Cricetulus griseus: one gene and its partners. The protein of the gene in region 1 interacts with the protein of each later gene in a biochemical or structural test. Links are inferred from orthologs where the notes say so. Each region holds a gene or a part of one and is shown on either strand. Other genes may lie near its edges. The genes, in order: Dlat, Pdk2 and Pdhb.

Region 1 (11,008 bases):
GGAAGTAGGTAAAATCTAAAGAATTAAGATTTAGCCTTTCTTTAACATTTTTGTTTTTATAATTTATGTATTTTTATTTTATGTATATTGGTGTTTTGCCTGTGTGTATGTTTGTGTGAGGATGTTGGATCCCCAGGAACAGGTGGTATAGACAGTTGTGAGCTGCCATGTGGGTGTTAGGAATTGAACCCCGGTGCTCTGAAGAGCAGCCAGTGCTTTTAACTGCTGAGCCATCTCTCCAGCCCCTTATGTTTGCTTTTTTAAGACAAGGTGTAGTTGGATTTTTCTTTGGGAGGACAGCGAACAAATAATGACATGAAGATTTACTATTAATTATGAAACCTCAGCTTTAGTTTAGGCTTGCCCCACCAGCTCTTATAACTTAAATTAACCCATTTATATTAATCTGTGTTCTGCCATGTGGTGTTACTTCATCTCTGTATTGTCCATCCCTCTTTCTCTGGCTGGTGACCCTGCCCTTCTTCCCAGACTTCTCTCTGCCTGGGAGTCCCACCTATACCTCCTGCATAGCTATAGGTTGTTCAGCTTTTTATTACACCAGTCACAGCGGTACATCTTCATAATAGTGTACAAATATCCCACAACAACAGGGTTTCTCTATAGCCCTGGTGGTGTGCCATCACCGCCCAGCCTAACTTTACTTAACTTTATAGGAAGTTATCTTCCTTCCTTCCTTCCTTCCTTCCTTCCTTCCTTCCTTCCTTCCTTCTTTTCTTTTCTGTTTTGTTTTTCGAGACAGAGTTTCTCTGTGGCTTTGGAGGCTATCTTGGAACTAACTCTTGTAGACCAGGCTGGTCTCGAACTCACAGAGATCCGCCTGGCTGAGTGATGGGAACAGATCTCAGGTTCTATGCAAGAGCAGCAAGTGCTCTTAACTGCTGAGTCATCTCTCTAGCCCTTAATTAAAAAAAAATAAAAATTCTTGTATCTAGTAAGTGTGAAATAAGTGTGGTCTCTTATGAGTGAAAAGATAAATAGATACTCATTGCAGAACACAGCAAATTCTACAGAGTGGTTTGTCTAGACCAAGATCATTCTGTGAAAATGAGAAGTATCCTTCGTAACCTAGAGCAGCAGTTCTCAACCTTGGGGTAGCTTAGTACATATCTTACATATCAGATATTTAGATTAAAATTCATAACACTAGCAGAATTTCAGTTATGAAGTAGCATGGAAATAATTTTATGGCTGGGAGTCACCACAACATGAAGAACTGTATTAAAGGGTTGCAGTGTTAGAAAGGTTGAGAACCCCTGTCCTAGTTGAAAAGAGACTTCGTATACACTGAGGAGCTCATTTTGACCATCTGAAAGAAATCCTTCTTACCTGCCTGTTGGTTTTAACTTCGGAGGATGGGTTGGGGTAACTGGTCAAGTATAATCACCCTTGTTCTGAAGGTGACTTAACTGGTGGAAAGCTTCTAGGCATAGATTCTTGCTGTGATGGGTAATTTGGTTTTGTGGTTGTGGTTTAATTTTGAGCCAATGTCTCACTGTGTAGTTCAGGTTGGTTTCAAACTCATGATCTTTCTCTTCTGCCTTTTGAGTGTTGAGATTACAGATTAATTCCACCAGAGCTGGGTGTGGCAGGGATTGAGTGACCCCAGAACTCTTTTTGTGTGCGGTGCTTCCTGGCTAACCGTGATGCCTTTGTTTCTGCAGGTACTTCTTCCTGCCCTCTCCCCCACCATGACTATGGGCACGGTCCAGAGATGGGAAAAGAAAGTGGGTGAGAAGCTCAGTGAAGGAGACTTACTGGCAGAGATAGAGACTGACAAGGCCACTATAGGTGAGAGTTCTTCAGTTCTTGGTCGTTGAGTGAGGAGGAGGATGGCCATCCTTTCCTGTACTGAGTGAGTGATAACATGAATTTTGTAATTCCTGGCATAATTTAAACAAAGTCATGCACAGTCACATATGTCAGTTCTAATCGATGTACTAATCTACAGTTCTAAGCTGTACTAATCGATGGAGGATATGTCAAGATTTTTTTCTTAGGCCAGGGTTTGCCATATTCTTATGATACTCAGAAGTTGTCCCAGAACTGCAATTGTCTAAACGTAGGAAGGAAGGGAGGGGGAAGGAAAAAAGTCCCCTGCCCCCCCCCCCCCAATCTGGGGCAAGAGAGTACCAAGGGATTTCCAATGATTGTGAGGAAAAACAGACCCCATGCCTGTCAGTCTTCACGTGTATCACATTCCCATGTTCCCCTTCTTTGATTTATTTTATTTTCAGAAACAAAATCCATTAAGCAGCTGTATATTTGTGCTTGTATTCATTGATAATCCTAGGCATTATGAACTTTTTGCCACTCATCCATAGTTTCTAGAAGCAAGAGGCCCACCCATGCCACAGAGTATGCATAGCAGGACCTAGGAGGCATGAGGAAGTAGAAGTCACGGACAGTGAGCGCTCTTTTCACCCCTGCCGTTCTTAAAGAAGCCCAGGGCAAGTGTGAACCAAAGAGTAAGACCCTCCCTCCCACCAGAGCAATTCCATCTTTCTTTTCACATACTACTTCCTCATAGTTTTAAAATGTGGATTTTTGTTGTTTGTTTGTTTGTTTGTTTTGAGATGAGACTGGCCTTTAATCTGCAGTCCTCCAGCCTCAGCCTCCAAGTTCAAGTGCTGGGATCACAGGCTTGTGCCTCACTGCCTGGTTCCCATAGCATTTATTAGAAGAAATGGTTCTGTCTTAAGAAAAAAAAAAAAGCAAAAGGCCAGCAAAATGGTTTGGTGTGGGTAAAGGTGCTTGCCAAACCTGAGATCAAAGGTTTGCACACCCTCTGCCCAGCTTTATTGAGTTGTCCCAGTTGGGAAATGGAAGGATTCATTAGAGATGTGTTCATCAAGGAGAACAGCAGAGAGCAAGATCCAGAAGGCAGAACTTGCCCTTTTCAGTAACTTAGTTTTGCTTTTTAAAATTTTTAGTTTAATTAATTGAGTTAATTTCTGAGACAGAGACTCACTCACCCTGGATGGCCTGGAACGCAGAGATCAGAGTGCTAGGATTAAAGGCATGCACCACCATGCCCTGCTGGTATTTCTTTACAGGGAACTCGTTGCTATGTAATCTAGTCTGGTCTTGAACTTTTGAGCTTACTATGTTGCTTGGGTTATCTTTGAGCTTGACATCCTCTATTTCAGCCTCCTGGTGGTGGGGTCACAAAAAAAACAGCCCCCCACCCAGCTTAAAGTTTCACTTTTATAAATCTAAGTGTTTGAGAAAAATAGTAGCTGAATGGCATATTAAGTGTTGTTGCAGGGACCCCAGTGTTGCTGTATTTCCTCACATTGGAATATCTAGCATAATGTCAAGTTCAGTCTTTGAGAAGCTCTGAGAACACGTTTAGTGCTAAAATCCCACGCTGCTGTCCTGCTTGGTAATTCTGGTAACTCAACTTCCGTGGAACTGACTTTCAGCAGTGCATCTGATACCATCTTAGAATCCTGTGAGTTCCACATAAGGACTGCCCTGAGGTGTTTTCAGTAACTCTCATAAGGAACCGCTGTCTGCAGCTCTGGTAGGACAGTACAGTTATCTCAGTATCCACAAGGGATCGTAATGCTCCAGAAAAGTCATCCCTATATGCTCAGCACAGGTGCAATTCTTTCCCAAATTATTTTGGCCTCAGGATTTGGAGAGCTGACTGCATTGTTTTGTTTACTCTGTTCCAGGGACTGTTCCTAAGTTCTTAAATAACATTGATTTAAATCATTTAAACCATAACATTTGCATGAGGATGATATAGTCAGTCATTTCTTGGTATATGTGTAGTCAAACTGATTCAAGGATGGAAGTCTATAGACTGGAGTTCCCTGTATAAGTGGATACAGTATTTGGGGGGCAGGGTGGGGGTCACTGGGATTGAACCCAAGGCCTTGAGCAAATTAATAGGACCTCTATTACTGAGCTATGCCTCTATTCAAGTATACTTTTAATCATTCCCAGTTACTTGTAATGCCTAATACAACAGTGCTGTGTGAGTAGTTGTTACACTGTATTACTTAGGAAACAGTTGCAAGACTAAAAAGTGTATGTGCTAAGTTCAGATCTCCATTGGCTAACTACATAGTACAATGTAACATTTGACCTACAGTTGAATGAATTTAGGGATGCAGAATCTGTGGACAGAAGTTGACTATACTATTCCTGGTTCCATGTTCCCGTGTTAAAGACTTGAAACAGGGACACAGAGAGGTTAAGCAGCTTGTAAAAATAAAACCGAACCAATGCCAGTAGTGTGAATGTGAAAAAAACCTTTTACCTGAAACTCTGGTGAATCTGTAAGAACGTCTTGAGTACCATAATATTTTCCTTTCTTCTTAAGGCTTTGAAGTACAAGAAGAAGGTTATCTGGCAAAAATCCTGGTCGCTGAAGGCACAAGGGATGTTCCCCTGGGAACCCCACTTTGTATCATAGTAGAAAAACAGGAAGATATAGCAGCCTTTGCAGACTACAGGCCAACGGAAGTGACCAGCTTGAAGCCACAAGCACCACCACCTGTCCCAACCCCGGTAGGTATGCTTCTGAACTGGAACATTATCCTTTCAGACAGATGATAGCCCAGGCTCCTGTGTGTCCAGATCCTACAAGCAGGAAAGTGCCCAGCATCTCCTATTAACCTGCGGTGTATAGCATGTGCCGTCCACCTGATGGTCAGTAGTTTGCCTCCATCTTGAGTCCTGTAAGAACAAAACCGAGTTACATATTCTTCTGCTTTCAGTGTGAAGGTCATGCCCACGGGAGGTGATGCTCTCACTCTACATTTTCTGTTGCTTTATTAAATACCTGTTGTTATTTTCAGTTCTGGTATTTGTGTATTTTTTTGTAGCTGATGAACGTGTGTTTTGGACTTGGGATCCTGATCTGACGTGACGTGTAGTAGCATCATACACTCGTGCTCTTCAGCATACACCTCTGAGGGTTTAAAAAGGTGTACCTTTCCTCAGCCGAAGCTTGACTCCTCACTGACTTATTTTGATGGGGATGTTGTCAGGAAACAGTGTAGTCCATTCCTTAAGACACTCGAAACATGGGACCTGGTGGTATCATTTTATATCCTGAAGTGAGGTTAAATAAAGGCAGACATGAGGTTAGTTATACTCTGAAAATAATGAAGTAGAAGAAGCTAGGTGTGTGGTGGTTCCAATACTTGGAGAGGCTGAGGCAGTAGGATCACCATGGGTTACAAAGTCTCAAAGTGGGGAAAATGACAGGTGACAAGGATGTTATACACAGGTCTGATGTGTTTATCTAATTATTCTTTATTAATAAAGAATCGGGAGTCAGAAATCGGGGTAAGAACCTGAAAGATCAGAGAGGCAGCATAGCAGACACCAGTCATCTCCTATCTCTTCCGTTCCTCCATCCAAAAGGCTGAGATCCTCTCCCAGGCCCACCTGTCCTCAGCCCTCCAAAACCTCTATGGTTAATGGTTTTGGTCAGCTAGTGGCTAGCTCCACCCTCTGACACACAACACTGGTTAGTTTAATTCCATACCTCTCCTGATATTGAGACTTGTGTGTTAGTCCAACCAGAAAAATGCATTATGTTCTTAGGGGACGAAAGTTACTAATTACAAAGACTTTTACTGTATAAAATATGAACCTGTGTTCTTTCAGATTATCTTTGCAGTAATGAGTGGATACTTTTAACTTTTTTCCAAGGTGGCAGCTGCTCCTCCCACTGCCCAGCCTCTAGCACCTACACCCTCAGCCCTTCCTGCTGGACCAAAGGGAAGGGTGTTTGTTAGCCCTCTTGCAAAGAAGTTGGCAGCAGAGAGAGGGATTGACCTCACCCAAGTTAAAGGTAAGTTTCTTTCTAAAGAAAGGAGTTACAAAGTTAAAGTTTAGCTGTCCATAAGTTTAGTTAAATGCTGTCCATAAGACCAACACATACAACTGTGTGGAACATAGATATCTTTGTTCCTTCATGGAGCAGGGAAATCATTGTATTTTATGTGATCTGTCTAGTGTTGCCTATGTAATTTGTGTGCCTTTAAAAATGTTCCTGTATTTAGAGGAAATCTTTAAAAGCAGTGCTGAGAAAAGGAAACTTCCCTCCACATTTGTCCTCAGAACTCTGAGGAGCTCCTTTAATCTTTCAGGGACCACAACTCAGGGAAGCTCTGGTTTTGTGGATTTGGTACAGAAAAGAATTTCAGGACTTGTCAGAATGAAGCTGAGTTGGTTTTAGTAAAAGTAGAAAGGCATTCACAAGCTGGTTGTGGTGGTACCCACCTTTAATACTAGCACTTGGAGGCAGATGCAGGTGGATCTCTCATTTTGATGCTAGCCTGGTTTACAGAGAAAGTTTCTAGAAAGCCAGGACTGCACAGAGAAACTGTCTCAAAAAATCAAGAACAACAATGAGAGAGATGAGGGAGGGAGGAAGAGAGAGAAAGAGAAGGAAGGGTGCTCATAAAATAATGAAAGAATGGTGTAGTTTATTAAAAGATATTTTAATGAAGATTTTTAAAGCATGAGGGTTAAGAGAAATAATAATATATACCCAAGTATAGGTATGGGCTTTTTAAGGGAGAGTCATAGTAGGTCAGACATACCCAAGTGTAAATGTGAGTCCACAAGGGAGAGTTGTAATTAAATGTCCTACCATTAGCCATGTGTACCACTTTTGTAGCTCTTTTCCCTCCCTCCTTCCCTTGGTAATAAGATTATGGGGTGGCTCTGAAGGTGCAGTGGATGTGATAAGGAAAAACCAGGAGTGCAAGGGTTTTAGTGTTGGTCTACTGTGGATAGGGTTTCTGATGAGCTTCCTAGAATATTTCTGGTTTAGCTTTGGGAAGTAGGAAAGGCCTTCAGCAAATGTTAATTGCTGGAATCCTTGCTTCTCAGCTGGTGAGGGGCTACTTTTATTTCTCCTGTCCCCCTATTTCTCCCTGTCTTACTTAATTGTTGGCAAAAGCATATGTGTTTGTTGAGCAATATTAAGTTTTAAGACTTGCTGTGTGATAAATCTCAGTGCTACGGTGACTGAGTGTAGCAATACAGGGCTGGTGAGATGGCTCATCAGATAAAATGCTGCTGATGACCTGAGTACTGCCCCTGGAACCCACATGATAGAAACAGAACTGACTCCTATGTACAGTGTGTCACCTGGGGGTTGAACTCAGGTCATCAGTGTTGGCAGCAGCAGCCTAACACATTGAGCCTTCTCAACAGCCAATTCTTTCTTTTCCTTTTTTTTTTTTTTTCATTTTATACTGAGTGAGGGTTGAACCTAGGATCTCATTCATAGTAGACAAGCATTGTAACAAGTATATTCTTAGCCCCTCTCTTTACTTTTATTTTGAGATATCGTCTCAGAATAAAAACCTTGCCCAGGCTGCCCTGTCTTCAGCCTCTTGAGTAGTTAGGCTCACGGGCCTGACCCACCAGGTCCTATTTTAAATTCTGTATTCTTCCCAATACCCTGTGCTGCCTGTCCCTGCTCTACCATCCATAGTCACTGAAGAAAACTACAATTATGTCCTCTGATCTGCAGCTGTGTGCACTCGGTCTGATTCTCACCCACTACCAAGCTGCCGTTTTTTGTTGGAGGTCAAACTGATCTGAAAACAAAGCATCAGTTTTGCCATTCTTTATACATTTTTGCTTAGTATTGAAGACAAGTTTAAGGCATTTCAAAGAGCAGAGGGGCTGTGTTAATAACTGCCTGAAGAACTGGACTGGTAGGGTCATTTGTTGAAGAGTTAGCAGCACTGGTTATTTTACTAGAGGGATAAATTGAAGTATCCCAGTATTGTTTTCATGCAGGCAGGGTTAATCAGTCCCTTTATTATTAGCTAAGCAGATACACACAGAGTGCCATCTGTGTGTATAAGATGGAAAAACGTTCTGACTTCACTGGCCAGCAGTGGAGGATGAGTGAGCAGAAGTGTACTGGAGTGAAGAGTGGGATCCAGAGCTGACTGCTCAGGTTTAAATGTCAGCTCTGCCGTATGCTAGCACTGTGACCTTTCCTGACTCTGTAACTTGTATATAAAAATAATACTTAATAAGTTGTGAAGATTAGTAAGTAAAGAGTGCTTGTGCACAGAAAACATGTTAGCTCTCCTGGTTCTAAATTTCCATTGTGATCTGAGATGATGTAAGAGCTAAAAAGGAACAGACTCAATGATAAACCTGTCTATGAGTGACAGTGACAGGACAGGGTGGCTCTGTGAGGAGGCTCTTTCCAAGGAGGAATCACCTGTGAGCCAGCCATGTGAGGTACTGAAGAAAAGCTTTTTGGCAGAGGTTGGTATGTCAGCAGCACATGGTCTGGAATCATACAAACCTTGACATGCCTGAGGAACATAACAGAACATGTAGAGTGAAGGGGAGAGGAGAAGATAAGGGTGAGAAGAATTAAAAGCAGCTGGGTCTGATAGATCGCACACACCTGTAATCTAGCTGGGCAGAATCAGACAGAAGGAAGGATCTGCTGGTCTGGTTGTTCAGGGCCTCCTGGGCTACAGGCGAGCTAACCACTGAGGCAGCTGGGGCTTAAGTACAGTGGTAGAGCACTTGCCTAGCATTGTGTGAATGCTAGCATTCACACGGCACAAAAATATCTTCAGTTGTTTCCAGGGTACCCTGGGAAGCAAAATGCCCTCCTTGAGAATCTGGTCCATTAGAAACATTTGGGGTGACATAGGGCAGAATGATTTGGCAGAAAACAGAATTCTTTAGAATATAAAAGGATTAGCCTTTAAGATTATGGATGGTTGGTTTGGTGGTAGGAAATAAGAATCCCTCCCTGCTATGGTCTGTTCTATAATTTAAGGTTATCTGATTATCTTGGGAAGTGAGTCTGGGAAGGGTGGGCTTGGAGAGATTATAGAGCAGTCTTCTAGGGCTGGGGACAATGGAAAGGAGACAGTTGGGTTCTGGGAAGCTTCTGGGCTTCTGTCTTAGCTTTTCAGTTCTAAACTGAGTTAGTCAGCCAAGTCTGTGCTTTCTATTCCAAGCAACATTGCTTAATGAGAAGATAAGCAGGTTCTAGAGTTTTGCAAGGGAATGAATGATTCTAACAGTAGTCTGAAGAATGTGATTTGGGCAAAGGAAGGAAGGAAAGTACAGGGACTAATGGCAGCAGGAAGGTCAGGGCTAGTGAAAGTGGAAGGAGTCGGAGTGTCCTTCATTTTACTTAGTTTTTTTTGTACTAAGAATTGAACTAGGCTTTTGTGCCTGTGAAGCAAGTTCTGCACCACTGAGTAGAGAGGGGATGAGGTTGATAAGACTTTGCAGTGGAGGGTGGGAGTGGCCAAGGCCCAGTGAGCTCAAGATCCATGATTGTGTGGTATTCCTAGCACCAAGTATTTGGAGTTTTTCCATATAACCACCAACTGAGTGTCCAACAGTTCAGTCCAGTTCTGACATGAGACTATGGAGTAAGACCGCTCAGATTGCTTTTAAGTACCCAGGGCCACCTGCTTGTGTAACTCATTAACAGAGAATTAAGGATTGCCAATTCTCCTTGGGTTTGATAATTAGCTAAAATGACTGATAGACCTTATTTATATACTATTATTAATCTATTGTAGAGAGTACAGCTCGGACATAGCCAATGGAAGAGATGAATAGGACGTAGTATAGTGGGGAGGGATGCAAACAGCACCCATGTGTTCTCTGGGCTTGCCATCCTTCCAGCACATGGCTGTCCTCACCAACTAGGAAGCCCACTGGTTCTCACCATTCAAAGCAATATTTTCAGAGGGGTGTCGTCATAAAGACACCGTTGACAAAATCATAGGCCAGTGTTCATTGAACTCAGCTCCCAGTCCCTCTCCCCTTAGTGCAATTAGTGCAGGAAGCAGAAGAGTTGGAGGAGGAGATGGGGAGGGAGAATAGAAAGAAGATTTAAACTTCTATCACCCTTTAATCAAGTGTTTGGTCTTACTAGTCCTTATCCAGAAGTCCTGTCCTCAGTGACCTCATTACTATAAACTGGTGTGTTGTAAAGAAGCTTGATTAAAAAAAACACTTATTTTTGAGCAAATTGGAAAGCTTTTGGAAGGTGCATGGCAAGAGCTTGGAACAAAGACCATACATATCTATTTTTCTCATACCCCAGTGCTTGCAAAGAGAAGATTGTTTTTGTTATGGATTTCAGGGATTTAAGCTAGTTTATTTATTCAATATTGGGGCTAAAGGGCATGTGCCAGCGCTAAGGCATATATATGTGTGGAGTTTAGGACAATTTTATGAATTTGGTTCTTTCCTTTATGTGAGTTCTGAGGATTGAACTCTCTGGTCATTAGATGTGTATGTCAAGCACCTTTTCCCATGGGCCATCTCACCAGCCACCAAGAGATGTTTAAGAACTGGAAATAACATGATCTGGGATTTGACTTTAGAAGCTAGGAGCATGGGGCTCTTGTTTGTGGGAAGAAAATGTAGTTTGGTAGATGAAAGAACTCAGAAGTCTGGGTAATGGGTGGATTGTCATCCCCAAGAAAAACGAGTAGCCATGAAATTTAATGAATAGGACTAATTATGATTAGGAGATGAGAGACGGTAGGTTGTATGTCTAGATTCCTGGAGATTCAGAGGGAGTTGAAGAGTTGAGTTGGGGTAGATGGGGGTTGAGACAGGGTCTCATGTAGCCCAGGCTAGCCTTAAACTTGGTGTATGGCCAAGGGTGATCTTACATTCCTGATCCTCCTGACTCTGCCTTCTGAATGCTGACATTTCAAGTGCCCATCACTATGCCTATCTGGGAGTTTAGTTTTTTAGGAAGACAGGGGGCTAGGCGCACACTCCAACCCCAGATCACTCGGTGGCGGAGGGAGTAAGAGAAAGAAAGAAATAAAATCCATTGTAAAAAGACCCAAAGTCAAATAGAGGGGCAAGGTGCTTAGAAAATTTAGCCAAGTCATTAACTACTGAGGAAGAAGCTATTGAGGCTTAAGCCTGTTTGGAGCACAGGTGGTCTGACAACCGTGCCTGCAAAGTGTATTTTGGTGCAAACCACGTTTTG
Region 2 (10,057 bases), on another chromosome or scaffold:
CTCAGTCCACTGTTCTATCCTCTAAGAGGGGGTAATTTCTGGTCCCTCCTAAGGTTGCTGCTATAGGATTCTGAAGCAAAGAATCTGCTGTGAGAGCACTAGCAGATTTGGGGTTTCCTTGTACAACTTACTACGTTGTCAGGGAGACCTAGAGCCAATAAAATGGGGTGTTGATTGTCAGCGGGTTCAGCTCTCTGCATCTGAGGGTGTGGGAGGGAGCATCGTGTAGTCTCAGCTGGCCCCTTCTCTCACACAGGTATGTCCAGAGTCTGCTGGACATCATGGAATTCCTGGACAAGGATCCAGAGGATCACCGGACACTAAGCCAGTGAGTGAGCACCCTCTTCAGGGACAAGAAGGCAAGGGTATCTCAGTCAGGGCCCCAAGGATGGAATGCCAGCTGGGTGCAGGGGATAAAGGGGGAGACAGGCTATTTCTGGGAAATCCTGGTCAGAGGGGAGAGATGCAGAGTCCAATTATCAGTACCCTGCCCTCAGAAACAGACTTTCAGAGGGACTGGGAGCTTTAGCGGTAAGCAGGAAGATGGATGGGCAGCTGGAGAATAAGGGTGGGCTTACGGTGAGTGAGCACCGTGTCTCCGTGGGGCTGGGGAGGATAGAGAAAATTGGGGAACTGAAAGGAAGTTGGAATAAAGAGAATCAGGGGTACCCCCAAGCCTGAGACTGGGTAGGGACAGATGACTGCATTCTCGGAAGGTTCACCGATGCCCTGGTCACCATCCGGAACCGGCACAATGACGTAGTGCCCACCATGGCACAGGGAGTGCTGGAGTACAAGGACACCTATGGCGATGACCCGGTGTCCAACCAGAACATTCAGTACTTCTTGGACCGCTTCTACCTCAGCCGGATCTCCATCCGCATGCTCATCAACCAGCACAGTGAGCTCTGGCTGCCTCGGAGAGGGAGGGCAAGGGGTCCTGGTAGGGCATGCCAGGAAGGGGCACCACCCCTGACAGGGAAGGAAGCAGGGCTCCCCACTTCAGCCACTGTGCCCAGAGGCCCAAGTACCATTCAGGAACTGAAGAGTTACTGGCTTAAGTCAGGTGTGGGAAGCACATGCCTTCAATCCCAGCACCTGGGATGCTGAGACAGGAGGATTATATGTTTGACGCCAAGCTTACCTACATGGTGAGACTTTGTTAAAAAAAATTAAAATAAGTAAATAAATATAAGCCAGACAGTGATGGCCCATGCCTTTAATCCCAGCACTCGGGAGGCAGAGACAGGCGGACCTCTGTGAGTTCGAGGCCAGCCTGGTCTACAGAGCGATTGCCAGGATAGGCTCCAAAGCTACACAGAGAAACCCTGTCTCGAAAAAACAAAATAAAAAATAGATAAATAAATAAATAAGTACATGTAGCAGGGCGTGGTGTGGGAGACGCCTATGGAGGAGTGTTGCGGGATGCGGAGTCCTGGGGAGGCCTGAACTAGGGGGAAGACAGGACTTGGGGGCATGATTAGCATGGAGTGTACAGAGGCTTACAGATAAGTGAAGGGCAGGACGTTTAGAAAGACAGAGGGCTAGGTCCTGTGAACTAATCAACAGTGCCCTTCTCTCTGCCCACAGCCCTCATCTTTGATGGAAGTACCAACCCAGCTCACCCCAAACACATTGGCAGCATTGACCCTAACTGCAGCGTGTCTGATGTGGTAAAAGGTGAGCCCCCACCATAGGCCTGGCCCAAAAAGGAGCTCCAGAGACCCCTCCCTCCCAGATAACCTGGCCAGAGGATGACCCATTCCCAGTGGATGGTGGTGGTGGGGGACGGGCATGTCCCCATGGGTTTCATGTTGGTGATGCCCAATGTCAGTGCATGCCGGGTCAGCCACCCATAACCTGAGTGGTTCCCTCTCCTCTCAGATGCCTATGACATGGCCAAGCTCCTGTGTGACAAATACTACATGGCTTCACCTGATCTAGAGATCCAGGAAGTTAATGGTAAGCAAATGAGGGTGTGTGTGTGTGTGTGTGTGTGTGTGTGTGTGTGTGTGTGTGTGTGTGTGTGTGTGTGCTCGCATATACTTAGTGTGCATGTGTTTCAGAGCAATGGGGACAGACCAGAGTAGGGGAGCTGGAGGGCCAGGCTCCCCTAGAGGGGAGCCATTGTAAATTATTAATTTATTGGAAAACTGCTTATTATTTAGCACTTGCATCATGTAAAAAAGATAGGCAAGCTCTTGCCCTCACAGAGCTGACATTCTTGGTGCTGGGGCGGTTGGGAACTGTAACAGTTAACCACTGAACATGTAATTTCAGAGCCTCGTAGGTGACAGGCTGATGTCATTGTCCTTATAAGTGAACATAGTGAGTAAGTAAAGGACATGATGTGGGTGGGGCCAGAGGACAAAGGCCAGGGAGAGTGATGTGAACAGGGACACCTCCCCAGAATGCAGTGGCTTAATTAAGAGATGCCTTTGGACCGGGCATTGGTGGCGCACGCCTTTAATCCCAGCACTCGGGAGGCAGAGGCAGGAAGAGCTCTGTGAGTTCGAGGCCAGCCTGGTCTTCAGAGCGAATGCCAGGATAGACTCCAAAGCTACACAGAGAAACCCTGTCTCGGAAAGAGAGAGAGAGAGAGAGAGAGAGAGAGAGAGAGAGAGAGAGAGAGAGAGAGAGATGCTTTTGGGTGGCCAGCCCCAGGTGGAGTGGTCAGAGCCAGTACTCGCTCCCCAGGGAGCTGAGAATATCAGAGTGAACTTGTACTGTCCAAGTATTACTAGCTATGGCAGCTTGGAAGGCACACAGCCTCACGCTAGGGGAAGAGGAAGGGAGGGAGGGAGGGAGAGAGGGAAGGAGGGAGGGAGAGAGGGAGGGCTGGCTGCTCTGAAGGAACAAGGGCTGCAGGGTCACACCCGCACCGTAGATAGGATTGTGGAAGGTTACCTTGCTGTGCTCTTGACTTCCACAGCCACCAATGCCAACCAGCCCATTCACATGGTCTACGTCCCCTCCCACCTCTACCACATGCTCTTTGAGCTCTTCAAGGTAAGAAGGCTGCCCTTCTCAGGAGGCTGGGAGGGTCAGCCCTCGGCCCTCAACCTTAGCAGCGCTTCCCTTACTGTGTCCTTCATACTTTCCCCAGAATGCCATGCGGGCCACGGTGGAGAGCCACGAGTCCAGCCTCACCCTCCCTCCTATCAAGATTATGGTAGCCTTGGGTGAAGAAGATCTGTCCATCAAAGTATGTGACCCTTGACCTGACCATGGGAGGTCATGGGGATTAGGGTGAGGAGTGAAGATAACCCTGGAAGGCATCTCACATGTCCCTTGTCTCCCAGATGAGTGACCGAGGTGGGGGTGTCCCCTTGAGGAAGATTGAGAGGCTCTTCAGCTACATGTACTCCACAGCCCCCACACCCCAGCCTGGCACTGGGGGTACCCCACTGGTAAGATGACTTCTTCCAGTCTCCCTGTCTCCTGCTTTCTTAACTCCCAAGCATACTCCACATCCCCCACCCCCGCAGTGGTTGTGTGGTGACAGCCTCCTGCTGCTAATAGCTCCTTCCTGCTGATCATCTGCCCATGGCTTAGCTGTCGCTTGTCCGCATTGCTCTCTCTTCCCTCTTTCTCTGCTGCATTGCTCATTTGCTGGCACCTTTGTCCCACCTCCCATGGACTAGGCAGTCCTGTGCTTACAGAATGGGCTCTAGCTGGGCGGTGGTGGCGCACACCTTTAATCCCAGCACTCGGGAGGCAGAGGCAGGGGGATCTCTGTGAGTTTGAGACCAGCCTGGTCTACAAGAGCTAGTTCCAGGACAGTCTCCAAAGCCACAGAGAAACCCTGTCTCAAAACACAAACACACACACACACACACAAAAAAAAAAAAAGAAAAAGAAAAAGAAAGAAAGAAAGAAAGAAGAAAAAATATCGGAATGGGCTCTAAGGAGCTCATGGGGCTCTAAGGAGCTCATGGGTAGAGCTCCCCTGTCCAGCTTTCCTCCCCGCTTTCTCTGCAATTCCCTTGCCTACCACCTACTCTCATCTGCTCCAGGAATTCCCTTCTCCACCCCTGCTCCAGCACTCCTGCCTGTCCCTAGTCAGGCATCCCTGGCTCACTTTATGACCTGTGGCTTGTCTGCAGGCTGGCTTTGGGTATGGACTCCCCATTTCCCGCCTCTACGCCAAGTACTTCCAAGGAGACTTGCAGCTCTTCTCTATGGAGGGCTTTGGGACAGATGCTGTCATATATCTCAAGGTGAGGCCCACTGGGGGCAAGTTTGCTGCTAGCAGGTTTCTACCAATCCCTCATCCTGGCTCCAGACTCAGAGCTGAGCCTTGGTTCCTCAAGTGCTGTAACTTGGCCTTTCATTGAGAGGGAATGCCTTGGTGATTAATAGAGGCCACCCAGCCCAACCTTCCCCCTCTCTTCTTTTTACCTCCCTGACTTTTGAGGGAACAGCTTTCTGGAATGGACCAGAGAAAGATACAGAAGGTTCAGACCCTTTTAGGGGTTTTTGTGGGTCTGGTTATGGGGCTGACTTGGACATGGGTTAGGATACTAGGGGTGGAGAGCATCAGGGCCCAGTGGGAAGGGGTAGTGTGCTGAGGATTGGGAAAGAAGGAAACTGATGGCAGTGCTCCCTAGGCCCTGTCCACGGACTCAGTGGAGCGTCTGCCTGTCTACAACAAGTCTGCCTGGCGCCACTACCAGACCATCCAGGAGGCCGGTGACTGGTGTGTGCCCAGCACGGAGCCCAAGAACACATCCACGTATCGGGTCAGCTAGGGGCCTTCTCTCCCTGGCACCTGGGAGGATGCTGCCACCTCTGAATCCAGCCACCACAGGGACCTTCCCTATCCCCTGGGGTACAGAGGGTGAAGCTGGGTCTCCCTAATGGCCAGGTCTGTCTTTGTAGAAATCTCAGTGACCCATCTGTGGTGGTCTCTAAGTGCCAATCTGTCTCTACAGAGAAACCTAGGGAGTTTCTGTGGAGCCTGGTCTCCATGGTGATGCTTGAGGGTTGGGGATGGCTGTATCTGATGGGGTACCCCAGAGACACTTCTCCACGGCAGTTCTCACAAGACCAGAGCTGTCAATTTTCTACCAGAGACCCTGGGTCCCCGTCACTGCCTGCATAGTCCTGGCCTTCCGAGTGGCTGCCCTGCTTGCCTTATTCCCACACCCTGTACAGGTATACTGGGCTGTGTCCTTTGTTGATGTTAAGAAGGGTGGAGTGCCCTCAGGTCTGGAGAAAAGATGGAGAGAGAGGGTGCACCCTTGACCCTGGTCCTGCAGCCTTTCTCTGTCAATACCCTGGACATTAAGGTTGCAACTGGGAACTTGAGATGAGAGTGGGAAGTCATTCTTACCCAAGGCCCACTTCTAAAGTAGCGGCACCTGGGAAGGCTGAGAAGTAACCTGCCCCACCAGGACTCCAAGACGATCGATCAATCTTGGCAATGTTTGTGCCACTTCCTAAACCCTGGTCCAGCATGTCCTCACATGTGCACTCCCCTGCCGAGTGTACACCCCCCCCATCCTGCCTGAGCTTTAGACCCCACCCCACCCCACCCCCGTGCTCACAACGTGTGCACAGGTGACTCATCCCTAGAACATTCTATGTACATAGCCAGTTTTGTAATTTCAATGCCTCACCCTTCCCCTCAGCACACAGGGGTTAAAGCCGTGTGCCCCTCCCAGTGGCTGGGATGGTGACAGTGACATCCACAGTAAATAGATGAAATGAGACTGGTGACTGGCTGCCTTGCTGGGGGAGGGTGAGTCCACACATGAACACTTGTGAAGACTGGTCCTCTAGGACTAACTGTACTCAGGAACTGGCCTAGCTAGCAACCAGAGCATACCACAAGGCAGGGCCATCCACTGAGAACACCTGGCAGCCCACTGGCCAGTGGTATGCAAGCCATAGCTTAGTCCCTCATCCCAAACAGAAAGATCATTGGTGTATGGTAAATATTTATTGAAAGAAGTTGAGAACCATATTCCCCCTTCACATGCAGGTGGGGCACACTCGGCTCCTGACAGCTTTCGGGACAGTAGGGCCTCCACCCTCCCCACCCAGTCTAGATAGTGCCAATGCCCCTATACCTTAGTTTCCCTCTGAAGCCCCTCTCCCAGTGCAATGGCTGAGCCCAAGCACAGGGTCCTGGCCATCAGCCACTTCATCAGGCAGGAGAGAGGGAGTTAGCATGCAGGTCCTATCCACCCCTCTGGGAAGCTGGGAGGGGTGGGGGGTTTCTTCTCAGAAACCTCCTGGGCCCAGTAGTCACTGACCAGCACCTGAGAAGCTGGGTCAGCATGGCATCTGGACCCTCTGTCTCTGAAAGTACCCTACAAAGGACATATGCCAGACCTACCCAGGGCTGACCCAGTCCTCCCTGTAGCCTAGCAAACCTGAGCCAGCAATGTTTGTCAGCTCTAGGCTCACTGAGGCCTTGACACACCCAAGGGGCCTAGGGAGCTGATGAACCCTTCTGATCCAGCAGCTTCCAGGCCACCCTCAGATTGTGCCTCTGCCCGGCTAGTGTGATGAGAGTCACCAGTTCAGTGCCACCGAGGCACTAGTGTGTGTGTGTGTGTGTGTGTGTGTGTGTGTGTGTGTGTGTGTGTGTCCTATGTCCCCATCAGCTCCCATTTATCCTGACCCCAAAGAAGCCTCAAGCACTCTCTGAAGAAGTCGATTCTAGCTCTGCAAAAGGTCAAAGACCCACCCACTCCTGACTCAGTGGGAGAGGAGCAGTGTCATCCTGCCTGCTGGGACCTGCAGGCTAGTGAAGAGGAGAGAGAAAGAGTCCCCTTCTCCCCGCTCTGCAGTCCTTACAGAGGCTAGCTTACCCTCCACCGCTCGCTCTTCTCTCCTTTGAGGAGGTGTCTGGGAATCTACCCTGAGTGTTGCTACTACAGTGCCCACTGGCCTCTCTGGGGAGAGCTGCTCTCCTACCACACAGCCACCTTCAAGAGCTGAGGAGACACAGCTCTGTCTCCTGTTGGGATGCCCAGGCTGCTCTCTAAGCCTAAGGATTCTGGTCATGGTAGGGCCTCTCTTGCTAGCTCACTTCCTCTTCAGTACCACTCTAGCCAGAGGGAAGAGGTTCAGCCTGGACCGGGCTCCTCTGGGTTCCAGATTTGCTGCATTCCTGGCCTCTTCATCTGCCACCTGCTTCCCCCCCGGAAATCTGTGCCAAACAAGTCCTCGAAGTTGGGTTTATTACTGGGCCCTCTCCGTGGGATCCTCCAGAGGATTCGGTCCAAACAGGGTGAGAGGGGTCATATGCCCCAAAGAACCTGGTACCTAGACCCTACTTCCCTGGTGAGGCCCCTGCAGGTGGCTGCAAGTGCTCTGGGGTGCCAGCCCCCCCGGCCAGCCATCCCTAGCTCTTCTTAGCCTCATGCTCTCGGCGTCGCAGCTTCTCGCGCTGCCGTGCAGTCTTCTCCTGCGCCTTCCGTTCCTTCTCAGCAGCCGCTGCCAGCTCCTTCAACTTCCGCTTCACCAGTGCCCGGTCATGCGAGTTGCTAAGCCCCAGGCTCTGGAATAAACCCAGGGTGAAGGAAAGAAGCCCAGAACACTCCTCCCATGGACTCCCTGCAGACCCCTGGAGTCTGCTCTGAAGTATGGCCTTTGCCTAGGGATTGGACCTCAAGGGAAGAGGAATGGTTTGCAAGTGGTCATAGAGAGGACAATTGGCACTAAGCCATTTGTGCCCCATCCTTGGCTCCAGATCCTCAGCCTCGGTGCCATGACTGTGCCCAACCTCCTGAGGTCCTTCAGATGGAGAGTGATTTGTTCAAGGTCACACTGCTAGGTGGCAAGGTCTCTCCCACTTGAAGATTTCCTATGGTCCTTCAAACCCAGGAACCTACCATCAGGCTCTGAGACTAAATATGGCATGGAGCTGGCCAGAAAAGAGGCCTGGCTACCCAAAGGGCAAGGTCAACCTGAACACCCAGGCTGGTGCTAGAAGGTCAAATGGAGACAGATAATGGGCTTAAATTTCTTTTTTTTTTTCTTTTTCTTTCTTTCTTTCTTTTTTTTTTTTTTTTCGAGACAGGGTTTCTCTGTGTAGCTTTGGAGCCTATCCTGGCACTCGCTCTGGAGACCAGGCTGGCCTCGAACTCACAGAGATCCGCCTGCCTCTGTCTACCGAGTGCTGGGATTAAAGGCGTGCGCCACCAATGCCTGGCTCATGGGCTTAAATTTCAAGTCAGATTAGGGAGTCAAACTACATTGCAAAGATTAGAGCAGACCCTTGCATAGAGGTCAGAAGCCAGGTCAGTGGCTAGACAGGGAGAGGAAACCCCAGATCAGTCCAGGAGACAAGTCAGAGCCATGAGTCAGGACAAAGGGGGTCCTTATCCTTGCAAGCTACCCCAGTCTGGCCAGCCTTGCACTCTACCTTCAGTTTGCTTCCATCCAGCTGCAGGAGCTGTGGCCCATCCACCTGTCGGGCAGCAAACTCAGCAGCATACTGTTCCAGGTTGAGGCTGCACAGCCACTGGCCCACCTGCTGGCTGGTCCAGTGTTGTATGGTAGGGAGGGACTCGTCCAGGAACTGTGGTAGAGATGGGGAGAGTAAAGGAAGCCCAACCTGTGGCCAGGTCCCCAGCAGGCACAAAGACTAGCCTGGCTCACCTCATCTGAAGACTGGGACAACGTGTGGTAGGGATAGGAGCACTTGGTCTCCTGTCGAGGACCACCGGGGATCTTGGGGCTGCTGCTGGGAGGTGTGGAGTCATCACTCAGGGTGGATTCCTAGACAGAAAGGATGTGTGCTGAGGAGCAAGTTCATCCCCCCAAACCCGAGCCCATCACCTTGACCAGATGGAGCTAAATGCTGGACTAGACACCATTAGTTGTTCCATGCTCCTGGTCATGAACCCAGAACTTAAGTGACACATCAGAACCTGAGATCTCTAGGAGGGAGCTGGCTACCCAGAGGCTAGCACTAGGTGAGCAGAGGAATTAACAGGAGTGGAGGGACTAGGTGCTGCTGCCTTCAGGTAGCCCTCCAGGATTCCCCCAAGGCTGGGTCATTTGTCCCTGTTTCATGGAGTCCCTCTCCTTGGCCTCTTGCATAGTGGCTGGAGGATACCCTCATTGGCCTTGGATCTTTGTGAGGACTTGGGCTGTAGTCTCACTCAGCATGGGTGTCCCCTAGGACCAGTGCAAAGGAAAGATGGGAGCAACTGAGGAAGGATGTAGGGTGGTTAAAGACCAAAGCTGCACATCAGAAGGGTCTCTTCCCCGAACCCCCGGATTTCTGAATCTCCTAAGCCCTGGCACCATACACATTTGTGTACATCTGTGAGCAAGTCCCTTTTCTCTGGACCTCATTTGCTCATCTGTGCAGTGCAGATAATGCCTGCCCTGCCTACATCACAGTTAAAGCAACACATGAATCCTGAGCTTTGGAAGATATAGTGGTCTGTAAGGAGACTTTAGTGTTGGTTGTGTTGCTGGTTCTCGTTTCCTAGGGTCTGAAGCTTCCAGAGCACCAGGTAGGAGTCCCGATCATCTCTCTCTCTCTCTCTCTCTCTCTCTCTCTCTCTCTCTCTCTAAAACTTCCTACCATGCAGGTGGCTAGCTCTTGATGGTGAGGTCCAGACCTGACTCAGAACAGTAAGAAACAAGGGGGCCTCAGACGGACGGAGTGAGCAGTGGGGGCTCAGTGTCCCCACATGATGCTGAGTGGAGGAAGCAATATAAATGCACGGAAACAAAGTGAACTGGTATGAATGCATGGACCAGGGAATGAATGAAAAAACAGAGAGTGGATGGAAGTCACGGGTCACTAGATGGCTCTGTGGAGAGACACGATAGGTCCCAGAAAAGGCTGGGTCCCTCTCCAAGCCCAGATGAAGCATGCCCTTGTCATGAGCCTGGAAACCAGTGTGGGGCAAGAAGGTCTTGAGGTTACACTGGCAGGATGGTACACTCTTGCAGTCCCAGGCCAGCCAGGGGTACAGAGTAAAACTGCCTCAGGGGGCCAAAAGAAAGACGAAAAGGAAGGCTGGACGGTAAGAGGGGAGGGGAAGAAGGAATAAAGACCCAGGCTTACCTGGGAAGCTGACTT
Region 3 (11,108 bases), on another chromosome or scaffold:
AGGAGAGGAGGGGAAATGGGAGCCAGGTGTTTCAGTAAGGTAAAAAAGGGCCGGTAATCAAAATGTCTGGATTATATAGGAAAGAGCCTCTGGGGGTTAGGGCACCTCAGACCTTGGGCTGGAAAGTTCAGGGTACAGGGTAGGGTATGCCAGACATACAAGTCATTCCAAGGAACTGAAGGATGCTGGGAGGACCTGGCAGCCAGGCCCACTTTGATATGTTAAATAGGCGAACCACGGGCCGTTTGTCTCACATTTGAGTCGTAGGTTTGCCATCTAAATTCAGCATGATCAGAACAATTTCCTCACATCTTCATGCCTAAGTGCAGATAAAAATAACAGCAACCACCTACAATCACTTATGAAGTACACATCACAATGCTTGGCACACAGTGGACGCAAGGCTTACATGAAAGCTATTGTTTATAGTCAATGGACCGCGCCCATCCATACAAAGGCGAGGGCTCTCCTCCCAGATGTCTCAGCCTCTGGTTATGCTCTCCCATATATCTGTATAATAAACTTTCTCCTTCACCGTACCGAGGAGCCGTCATGTCCATGCCTTTCCTTTTTATTTAGTTCTCCTCCACGGGACTGTGGGCAAGAGCCACCCACGCGGTACTCAAGGCCCGCAGTGTCTGCGGAGGGGTGGCCTTAAGGCCCCTCCATCCTCGGTCAGGCCTCATTGCCAGTCTCAGCACCTGGGCGGGCAGGCAGGCAGCAGCCAGGGGCGTGTGCACCGCGTGCTAGCAGCTGCAGCCGGCTGTCTGCTAAACGTTCTCGGGTGCGTGCGCCGGGTCAGAAAAGATCAGCTGCTCCACGCCACCTCCGCCGGCTCCCGCCTGCCCAGGTGGGCGGGACTCGCACACGTCGCCCCCTCTCGTTGGCCACGCTCGCAGAGGCCTTTGCTAGCCCGAGGGGCGGGACCCTTTGGCATTGCGCCTTGCTATTGGCTTGCTCAGGAGGGCCGGGCCCTCAGTCGTCACTCTCCATTGGCTTCGGCTGACGGGTTAGGGCGGGCCCTGAGCTCGCCACGCCCCACCGTTGGTTGCGCCAGGCCCGGTCTGCGGAGCTTCTGTGTTGTCATTAGGCCGCCAGTAGAGGACACGGGCAAGATGGCGACGCTGGCCGGCGTGCTGCGGGGACCCTGGCGGCAGGTAGGTGGCGGCCCCCGCACGCCCGCGGCAGGCCCCGGGCCCTCCCTGAACCTCTTTCTCTCTCCCGGCCAGGTGTCTGGACTTGTGAAGCGGCGTTTTCACCGCTCGGCGCCCGCGGCACTGCAGGTAACCGTCTCCGACCCTGAGCAAGGCCGGGAGGGAGTCCTCGGTCCTGGGCGCGGGCGGGAGGTGGAAGGGTGGCGTCGCCGACCCTGGCAGCGGCTGAGCCCTGCGAATGAACCGCACTTTGTGTCCCCGCCCGGCGCCTCTCAAGCTGACACCCGTCCCCCGCGAGGCCGGAGGTCGTCTAACAAGCAGCCAGCGCTTTCCCTGACCCCCCCCCCACACACACACACACATACACCCGAAGTTGTGGTAAAAATACAACTTTAAAACCTTTGGTTAAGCCGGGCGTTGGTGGCGTATGCCTTTAACCCCAGTTCTCGGGAGGCAGAGGCAGGTGGATCTCTGTGAGTTCGAGACCAGCCTGATCTACAAGAGCTAGTTCCAGGACAGGCTCCAAAACAATACAGGGAAAACCTGTCTCGAAAAACCGAAAAAGAAAAAAAACAAAAACAAAAACAACAACAAAAAGAAAAAACCTTAGGTTAAAATGTCAAGTTCAGCGGCATCGACTGCGGTCGTCATATACACTGTCCATTTCTTAGTAGTTTTTTTGATTACCGGCTGTTACACGATAACTCACACTACTCTGCTATTCTAGACCATTTTGTATTTTTCTTGCTCAGGAAGGCCGGACCCTTAGTCCTTAGTTTGCTGGCTCTAGAATGTTATATGAGTTGGATCGTTTGCTCTTTTGTGTCTGGCTTATTTAACTTCTCACAGTAGCTTCAAGGTTCATCCATATTGTGAAATTCATACATCAGAATTTGTTCCTTTGAGAGGTTGAGTCATAGCCTTTGCACATCGTATACATTTATTCAAGGATGAGTATTTGGCTTGTTCCCACCTTTTGGGTTTGTAATGGTGCTGAGAACATCGGCTGCAGATACATGCTTGAGTCCCTGCTTTCAGTTCTTTGGCATAAGTATATTTAGAAGTGGAGGACTTAACCTTTCTACATATTAAAGCAGCAGCTCCTGCATTGTGGATGTCAAGTGTTGGGCACTAGTGAGTGCTTAATGCTTAGACTTAGATTTCCTTGCTAGTTCTCTGCCTCTTAGTATTCCAAGTGTAGTGACAGAAACAACTTAGCATGTTTTCTCCTTAGGAAACTGCCTGTGACACAGTTTAGGGTTCCATCAGTGTGTTGTTGTTGCCTGGGTGTGCATCAAATGGTACAACCAGTGTTCTGTAAGTTTTCATTAACATCTAGTGAAGGATTAGTGGTAGAGTGTTACTTTTTAAGTTCTTGGAAGTTTAATTTGACTTTTTTGTTGTTGTTTGTTTTCGAGACAGGGTTTCTCTTTGTAGCTTTGGCTCCTATCCTGGTAGTCGCTCTGGAGACGAGGCTGGCCTCGAACTCACATAGATCCGCCTGACTCTGCCTCCCGAGTGCTGGGATTAAAGGCGTGCGCCACCAACGCCTGGCTTGGAATTTTAATTTGTATGATACGCATTTATCTATGCACTTGAGGTCAACTTCCAGGGAATCAGTTTCCTCCTTCCATAATGTGTGACTGGGATCAAACTCATCAGACTTGGCCATCTTGCCTCCTCAGATTCTTGGAACTTTAAAGGGAATTGCCTGCTTGAGTGTTAATTATGTTTTGTCTTGTGGGCAGCCTAGGTAAGTATAAGGAAGGGAATTTCCATAGTATCTAAATAATCCTTTAGCTTATTTCCTGTTTATATACCCCTATGCCAGTTGACAGTTCGAGAAGCTATTAATCAAGGTATGGATGAAGAACTAGAAAGAGATGAAAAGGTATTTCTGCTTGGTGAAGAAGTTGCCCAGTATGATGGTGCATATAAGGTAACTGAAATAGGTAAACTTGATATAGAATTAAAAAGTACCCATTTGCCCTGATAAGCACTTGTAAGTCATGGGGTTAAATTCTAATTGTAGGTTAGCAGAGGCCTATGGAAAAAATACGGTGACAAGAGGATCATAGATACTCCCATATCAGAGGTACGCTTTCCAGACCAGCTTTGAGAATCGAGTTGAGTATTCAGTTTTAATTTCTGTGGATGTTTTCTTACGTTGCTGTTTGCTTTACAGATGGGCTTTGCTGGAATTGCTGTTGGTGCAGCTATGGTATGTACTATTATTTATGAAGGTCATCTAAGGAGATTTCCTTTAATACTATCTTCTGAAAATGTTGTTTGAGCTGGACATGGTGGCACTCACCTTTAACCTAACCCCAGCACTTGGGAAGCAGAGGATAGCCAGGACTACATAGAGAAATCCTGTTTTAAAAAACCAACAAAAAAAAAAAAAAGAAAAAGAAAGAAAATATTGTTTGTAATACTGGAAAAGTGGAGTGGTTATTCAGCACTCTTGCTTGTTCTGTTTAGTCTTTTTAACATTGATGTTTCTACTTGACAGGCTGGGTTGCGGCCTATCTGTGAATTTATGACCTTCAACTTCTCTATGCAAGCCATTGACCAGGTTATAAACTCAGCTGCTAAGACTTACTACATGTCTGCTGGCCTCCAGCCTGTGCCCATAGTATTCAGGGGGCCCAATGGTGCCTCAGCAGGTGTAGCTGCTCAGCACTCACAATGCTTTGCTGCATGGTATGGGCACTGCCCAGGTTTAAAAGTGGTCAGCCCCTGGAATTCCGAGGATGCAAAAGGACTTATTAAATCGGCCATTCGTGATGATAATCCAGGTCAGCATAATAACATTAAAAACTGACATGAACTCTTGCATATGAGGATCAAGGCATCTAGTGAGATGTAGCACAGCATATGAAAAGTGCTAATGACTTATAGACAGTAAAAAGTATGCTATTCCTTCTCACTGTAAGGTGCTGGTTACTTACTGTGCACCCACACCCATTAACCTTAGCATATACAATTATATTGATCAAACTGCATGTGTCAGCATGGAACCCATCCTAAAGCTTCTAGACTGAAAGAGACAAGACTTCTTAGTGTTCAGAAGATTAATGATTTCATTGTATATGCATTTCTAGTCATTTTGTCTGTAGTATTTTTTGTTTATTTATTTGAGAACTTATAATGTCTTGCAGTGGTGATGCTAGAGAATGAACTAATGTATGGAGTTGCATTTGAACTTCCTACAGAAGCTCAGTCAAAAGATTTTCTGATTCCTATAGGAAAAGCCAAAATTGAAAGGCAAGGTAAGAATCCTTAGTATACATTAACCATTATTTTTACTGTAGCTCTTGTGTTTGCATATGTCAGAAGTTACTGCCTTGTAATTTGACTTAAAAAGTAAAGGATAAATGAGCTCAAGTTAGGCTTTGCTGAATCCCGTCTGTCTGGTACATGTTTCTTTCTTTCTTTTTTTTTTTTCCAGACAGGGTTTCTCTGTGTAGCTTTGGAGCCTATCCTGGCACTCACTCTGGAGACCAGGCTGTCCTCGAACTCACAGAGATCCGCCTGCCTCTGCCTCCCGAGTGCTGTACATATATATTTCATGTCCAGGAATACAACCTCATTGTTTAGCTCACTGAAATAAGGTGAAGGTTTGATAAGAGCTATAGCTGGCTGCAGAATCACCAGTGCTACATTAGTTCCATTGACCTCTAATCTGTGACCACTGTATTTCAGGGACACACATCACTGTAGTTGCCCATTCAAGACCAGTGGGCCACTGCCTAGAAGCTGCAGCAGTACTGTCTAAGGAGGGAATTGAATGTGAGGTAAGTGGACAGACACACACACACACACACACACACACACACACTGGGTCTTTTAATAACTTCTCAAGACACACACACACACACACACACACACACACACACACACACACACACACACACACACACACACACTGGGTCTTTTAATAACCTTCTCAAGATCCAGTCTTGCTGGTCTGGGGAGATAGCTTGCTAAGCAAGCATGAGGACCAGAGTTTGGATCCATCCCAGCACTCAAAAAGAAACAAAAACCAAACAATCCAAGCATGACAGCATGAGCTTGTTATCCCAGCCCTGGGGAAGCATTGCTAGGAGGATGTCTGGTGCTTGCTAGCCTTGCCAGCCAGTCTAACCAATTAGTTAGCTCCAGATTCACTCTTTCTTTCTTTCTTTTTTTTTTTTTATAAAGATTATACAGTGTTCTGCCTGCATGTATGCCTGCAAGACAGAAGAGGGCACTAGATCTCATAAGGGATGGTTTGAGCCACCATGTGGTAGCTGGGAATTGAACTCAGGACCTCTGAAAGAGCAGCCAGTGCTCTTAACCTCTGAGCCATCTCTCCAGCCCAAAAGAGCAATTGCACAAGAAACCTGAGGTCATCCTCTGACTCCTCACATGTGTGTACATACACAATCACATATCACAAGATCCAGTCTTAGAGCTGGACTTCAAAAGTAACCGAATCTGCGTAGAATCTACCAAGTAGTTCTCCTTGGAAAGTGTTTCATAAGCTATAAAATGAGGATAATAGAACTTCTACTCCATGGGGTATGATGGTGTAGGGCCTGGTGTACACTAAGCACTCAACTATTTTGATAGATGGTGAAACCAAGGAGGGTGAGCAAAGCTTCCTGTGATGGGAGTACAGCTTTCTATTTTATGAGTTCATTTACTTTTTAAGACAAGGTCTTGTGTATAGCCTACATTGTCCTCAAACATGATCATCCTGCCTCAGCCTCCCAAGTGTCAGGATTACAAGTCTGCACTACTATACTGTTTTTCCTTTTAGTCTCTGATTGTGTACCCATTGATAGGTGGGTTCAATTTCCTAGATCCAGAGATTAGCAAAAACAAAAAGAGGGATGTTTTGGGGTCAAGGCTGTATTTGTCTTTTGGATCCTATAAAGCCTATTTACCTAATTACTGCATTGTCTTTAGGTGATAAATTTGCGTACTATCAGACCAATGGACATTGAAGCCATAGAAGCCAGTGTCATGAAGACAAATCACCTTGTAACTGTGGAAGGAGGCTGGCCACAGTTTGGAGTGGGAGCTGAGATTTGTGCCAGAATCATGGAAGGTATTTCAAAGAAACTTATTCTAGGATACATCAAGCTGCAGTAAACAGCATACTTGAAAAGATCAAGCTAGGGGTGACCAAATGACTTTTTTTTTTTTTTTTTTTTTTGAGACAGGGTTTCTCTGTGGCTTTGGAGGCTGTCTTAGAACTAGCTCTTGTAGACCAGGCTGGCCTCAAACTCTCAGAGATCCACCTGCCTCTGCTTCCCAAGTGCTGGGATTAAAAAGGCATGTGCTACCACCATCTGTCGACTGAACAACTTTCAATTTGTCAGTCTAGGGTTTTTGTCTTCAGGTAAATGTTTGAGGAAGTCAAGTCAAAAGAGTGCCCTATAACTAGGGTTCATTGATTACCTTGTTTTCTCTTCCCGAGTCCCAAATCAGCCTCTCAAGGTGAGCCTTCTCTTCCCCAGGCCCTGCATTCAATTTCCTTGATGCTCCTGCTGTTCGTGTCACTGGTGCTGATGTCCCTATGCCTTATGCAAAGATCCTAGAAGACAACTCCATACCTCAGGTCAAAGACATCATATTTGCAGTAAAGAAGACACTGAATGTCTAATTTGGACTTTGAATATCAAGTCATTGAAATTTATTTAAAATACTTATTGGGACTTCATCTGATGTGTACTGAGAAACTTTCCTAGTTATAAAGTCAATGCTAAAGCAGCAGCAGGTGTCTCTGTACTGATAAGAAGCTTAAATATGCTTATGAGTGGAAAACTCCACTTCCCGCGGTAGATGCTATACTTTCTTTGTCTGTTACGGTTGGTCTAGTCTTTGAGTAAGATTAATATAAATATTTTCCCTCTTTTACTACAAGGGGCAAGAATGTTGCAGAGTCCTGATGAAAGATATACCCCCAGAAGATACATGTTTAAAAAGTATATTATCTACATTTGCTTTAAGTTGTTTTGATAAGGAATAAAGGGGATTTCTACCTATGAGTAATCATGCGCCCGCACCCCCCCAAGGTTTCTCTATGAACAGTTCTGGCTGTCTGGGTACTCACTTTGTAGACCAGGCTGGCCTCAAACAGAGATCTGCTTGCCTCTGCCTCCCAAATGTTGGGATTAAAGGCATGTGCTCAGCTGACACCACTGTTGTAATCCAGGCAAACCTGGTCCTGCCTCTCACTCACCTGCACATGGCAGGTGTATACACCCTGGATCTTTAAACTTCACCTACTTCCATTCTCTTTCCTGCTGTTTCCCGTGGGGCAGAAAGGACTTTTGCTGTCCCTCTTCTCTTCTGTCCTCTCTCTCTTTACCTCTTTTCTCCCCCACCCCCTTCCTTCCCTTTCTAATAAAACTTCTCATTTAAGCTGTCTGCCTGGCGTGTGTGTCCCTCCGCCCCAGTCACCCTCGCCTGCCATGGGATTCGCCAAGGTTCTCCTCCTGCTTTATCATAACCACCACCCGGGGAATAACTATTATTATATTAGTGAAATAATGGATGTGGAAGTCTTGGAGTACTATTAAGAAATTTGTGTTAAATGGAAAATAACTTGATATACTGTATAAAGCCTCCTTAGTTTTTGGAAGGATTTCACTGTATTTCCTGGCTGGCCCAGAGCTATTTAGACCAGGATCTCCTAGAGATCCACCTGCCTCTGCCTCCCAAGAGCTGCCACCCCACCTGGCCCTCATTGAAAGTGTTTTTGTTTTTGTCTTTACATTTCCAGGACCATAAGCATGTTAGCCGAGTGCTCTACCACACCCCCAGACCCTATTTGCTTTTATTCATATATCTGAAACTACCCAAAACTGAAAAACCTGAAAGCAGAAGCGCTGGGATCCAGGTTTCCATCAGTGGTCACTAGTCAACACAGCACTTATACAGCCTCACAATTCATTTATTTCCTTTTTTGTTTTTTTGAGGCAGGTCCCATTGGCTTCAGATTCATTAATTAGTAGAGGATGATGACCTTGAGATTTTAACTACCTACCTCCACCTCCCAAGTGCTATAGACACAGCACCATGCTTAGTTGATACAGTGCTATATAAGCACTGTGCCAACTGACTTACATCCCCAGCACAGTATCTTTTGAAATGAAAAAGGTTGATGTCAGGTGCTTCTCACAGTGCCAAAACCAGATATGTCATATATGAGCCTTTTTAGAACTTGGTGGAAAGGATTGGTTTAAACAAGTTATGAAAGCATACACTGATGGTTTCTACATAATGAGGGTTATTAGCAATTACAAAGGAGGTAAGGTGACAGAAGGAGGGAGTATACTTTGAGATTACATTTCTTCACAAAATATACTGTAGAAGTTCTCATCTGAAATATCTAGCAAAGTCACAACATTTTCTTCACATGATTTATTTTAATACAAAATACAGCTGAGTATGTATCACAGATTACAATACTATATACAATGACATTCTTTCTGCATAGTAACCAACACTGATGTGTGTATTTGAATTTTAAAATGGATTTTTTTAATAATCCTTTAAAGTGCAACTTATTTAAAGGTTTAAGCAAATCACAGAATGAAAGATTTCTAATATCTGAGTAACATCAAAAAAGATGCTGAAGTTGGATAAATCAAATCAGAAGTGATCACCATAGATGCCAGATTCACTTGTAATGCTGACTCTCCCTCTACAAATGCTGAGGAGTAAGACAATACCTTAACTGGCAGGAGCTTTTTCTGTGGTTAATGTTTTTGTTTGTTTTGGTACATTCTAACTTAAGAAAACTATGAATCCAGCGTGACTGTTCTCAGCCACAGTGAGATTCCCTCTGTCCTGTGAAAGAGAATGAAGAGAGCTCTTGCTTCTCTGCCTCAGCAGTGTGACAGCCTTGGTTACAGTGTTAGTGTCTGAGGTGAACTACCTAAGAAACCAGAGAAGCTTCAGAGGAGTGAGCTAGGAGAACACTTCTGATAGAGTAGGAGGGACAGCCATAGACCAGTCACTGCTGTGACAGAATATTGCCACTGCTTTTGTCTTTGTCATTTTCCTTTAGCTGGTGAAAATAATGATTCCCATATGCTGCTGTTCCTAAAGGAAGCTCATCAGAGTCACACGAAGGAGCAAAATGTTAAGGCAGCAGTGCTGGCCCCATTTATTTATTTGGAGAGCATTTTCATCTTGAAGACTCTTACTGAAGCAAGACTGGCTGTACTGGCTCTGCAAGGACTCACCCCAGGAAGGGACTTGTTGGGGGCTATGTAAGGACTCACCTAGGAAGAGGGACTTAGGTGGGAGTGGAACAGCCAAGAGCTTGCCCTCCCAGTGTAAACAAGAAACGTCAGCCAATCTTAGGAGCACTGTGATCACAGGTTTTGGCTTTCTTCAAAGTTCCCTTTTGGAAATTCTGGATGGAGCTGAGCAAGGCCCCACGGTTCACGCCATTCATATCCTGGGGCAGTAGCGGGACAGGCATCTCTGTGCCTGAGGTTGTTGAGGGACCTGCTGGTGGAGGCGGAGGTGGTGGTGGAGGTGGAGGTAATGCAGAAGACAGCCCTGTAGAGGAAAACGGAGGTCAGTGCTCACCATTCCACCTGCCCTGCATGCTACTGCATGTGGAGCTCAGAGGACAAGGTGTGGCAGAGTCAGTTCTACCATGCAGGTCCTAGAGACTACTCAGGTTGTTAAGGCTTCAGGGGCCTGCACCTTTACCTGTGGAGCCATCTAGCCAGTCCCTAAATTTCGTTTTGTTGTTAAAGTTTTGTTCTTCCTTTAAATCACTAGGTAAACTGTTGTTTCCAAAGTAGTGAAACATCACTGCCATACTAATGTGTGTCAGTTATGAACATTGTGGTCTTCTAAGACCCTACTTATCTGTTATTACCACACTGCTATGAGCAGCAGGAATAACAGGCAAGACACCTTGTCCACAAATAGAGATGAAGGATGAATGGCTCAAGGTCACCAATAAAATACTCAGTTATCTCCTTTCCACTAAGCAATGGCCAAAGTCTTGCAATTCACAAAACCCACTTACCTTCTTTTATACCTTTACCCCAACCCAAGGCAGCTGAAATTAAAGAATCACACAGATGCAAACTCATGCTCTACAAGCATGGAATTCTCAATGATAGCATAGCAATACGTAAAGATTAAATACAGACAAATGAATACAACGTAATTTACATTGGTTTTGCTCAACGATGAATGAAATTCAATTAGCTTTTATGTAGGATGGATTGTGGAAGACATTCCTGGCTTTCCATTACAGGGTTATAATGGGCAGTAACCTTTAAGTGACTACTGAGGTACGAAGCCCAGGTGGAGTAAGGGTAGATGCATTGCACTTGAGGCATTTGAGTAATGACAGTGAAATGCTAGAGTGCGGGAGGGCTCTCTTGAAGCTCTGGAAACTGAGTCTCTCCACTGACAGCATGCAGCCACAGGAATAAGCTCTGCCCATGTGGGATAAATAGCTATTGATAACCCACACATTAGGTACTATCCTAATGGCCAGAGAAGGGCAGTAGAAAATAGGAGTTTCAGGGTCAGTTTTGTGCCCAGACTCCTAGCTGAAGAATCACTGCAGGATTAAGGCTCAAAAGATAGGTTTGGAATGCAACAGCACTGGGGACTACTGCATGCCTGAAACTGACCATCCTGAGACTGGCTGCCCTACAGTCTAGGGTTTAGGAAGGCTAGAGAAAGCCCTAGAGGCTTGAATTCATGAGTATGGGTAGTAGCCTTGACAGCTTGTTTTCAGAGAACTAACCCCTTGACTCTGGCCTCACAACCTCACATGTACTTCCAGAGTTTAGGAAACGATGAGCCTGAAACTATCCCTAAGTGAAAGCTAGAGGTTGGTTGTATCAATATAGCATCTAAAATATTACACCTGTATAGCAAACAGAAGAGGGGGCTGTGTGAGAAGTGGAGCTGCTCATT

Evidence for each region.
Region 2: the proteins of Dlat (region 1) and Pdk2 form a complex in vitro, tested with the Homo sapiens proteins (2 studies listed by BioGRID). The link is inferred for Cricetulus griseus from reciprocal best matches to the Homo sapiens genes DLAT and PDK2.
Region 3: the proteins of Dlat (region 1) and Pdhb form a complex in vitro, tested with the Homo sapiens proteins (2 studies listed by BioGRID and IntAct, with this or other methods). The link is inferred for Cricetulus griseus from reciprocal best matches to the Homo sapiens genes DLAT and PDHB.

What each region holds. Positions count from the first base shown.
Region 1 is NC_048597.1:162,409,699-162,420,706, reverse strand, and holds part of Dlat (dihydrolipoyllysine-residue acetyltransferase component of pyruvate dehydrogenase complex, mitochondrial), read left to right. Parts: intron 1-1,682; coding exon 1,683-1,809; intron 1,810-4,351; coding exon 4,352-4,539; intron 4,540-5,691; coding exon 5,692-5,833; intron 5,834-11,008.
Region 2 is NC_048600.1:108,203,164-108,213,220, reverse strand, and holds the end of Pdk2 (pyruvate dehydrogenase kinase, isozyme 2), read left to right. Parts: intron 1-256; coding exon 257-328; intron 329-716; coding exon 717-901; intron 902-1,590; coding exon 1,591-1,680; intron 1,681-1,884; coding exon 1,885-1,962; intron 1,963-2,932; coding exon 2,933-3,009; intron 3,010-3,106; coding exon 3,107-3,205; intron 3,206-3,302; coding exon 3,303-3,410; intron 3,411-4,106; coding exon 4,107-4,220; intron 4,221-4,610; coding exon 4,611-4,751; 3' UTR 4,752-5,714; downstream 5,715-10,057. Other genes in the region: sterile alpha motif domain-containing protein 14, read right to left, coding at 7,358-7,513, 8,381-8,536, 8,617-8,736, 10,043-10,057. UniProt on the Homo sapiens protein: Kinase that plays a key role in the regulation of glucose and fatty acid metabolism and homeostasis via phosphorylation of the pyruvate dehydrogenase subunits PDHA1 and PDHA2.
Region 3 is NW_023276807.1:76,089,775-76,100,882, reverse strand, and holds Pdhb (pyruvate dehydrogenase E1 component subunit beta, mitochondrial), read left to right. Parts: upstream 1-1,030; 5' UTR 1,031-1,115; coding exon 1,116-1,157; intron 1,158-1,229; coding exon 1,230-1,283; intron 1,284-2,985; coding exon 2,986-3,093; intron 3,094-3,186; coding exon 3,187-3,249; intron 3,250-3,339; coding exon 3,340-3,375; intron 3,376-3,666; coding exon 3,667-3,952; intron 3,953-4,315; coding exon 4,316-4,426; intron 4,427-4,859; coding exon 4,860-4,951; intron 4,952-6,107; coding exon 6,108-6,249; intron 6,250-6,661; coding exon 6,662-6,807; 3' UTR 6,808-7,574; downstream 7,575-11,108. Other genes in the region: Pxk (PX domain-containing protein kinase-like protein), read right to left, coding at 9,505-9,719. UniProt on the Homo sapiens protein: The pyruvate dehydrogenase complex catalyzes the overall conversion of pyruvate to acetyl-CoA and CO(2), and thereby links the glycolytic pathway to the tricarboxylic cycle.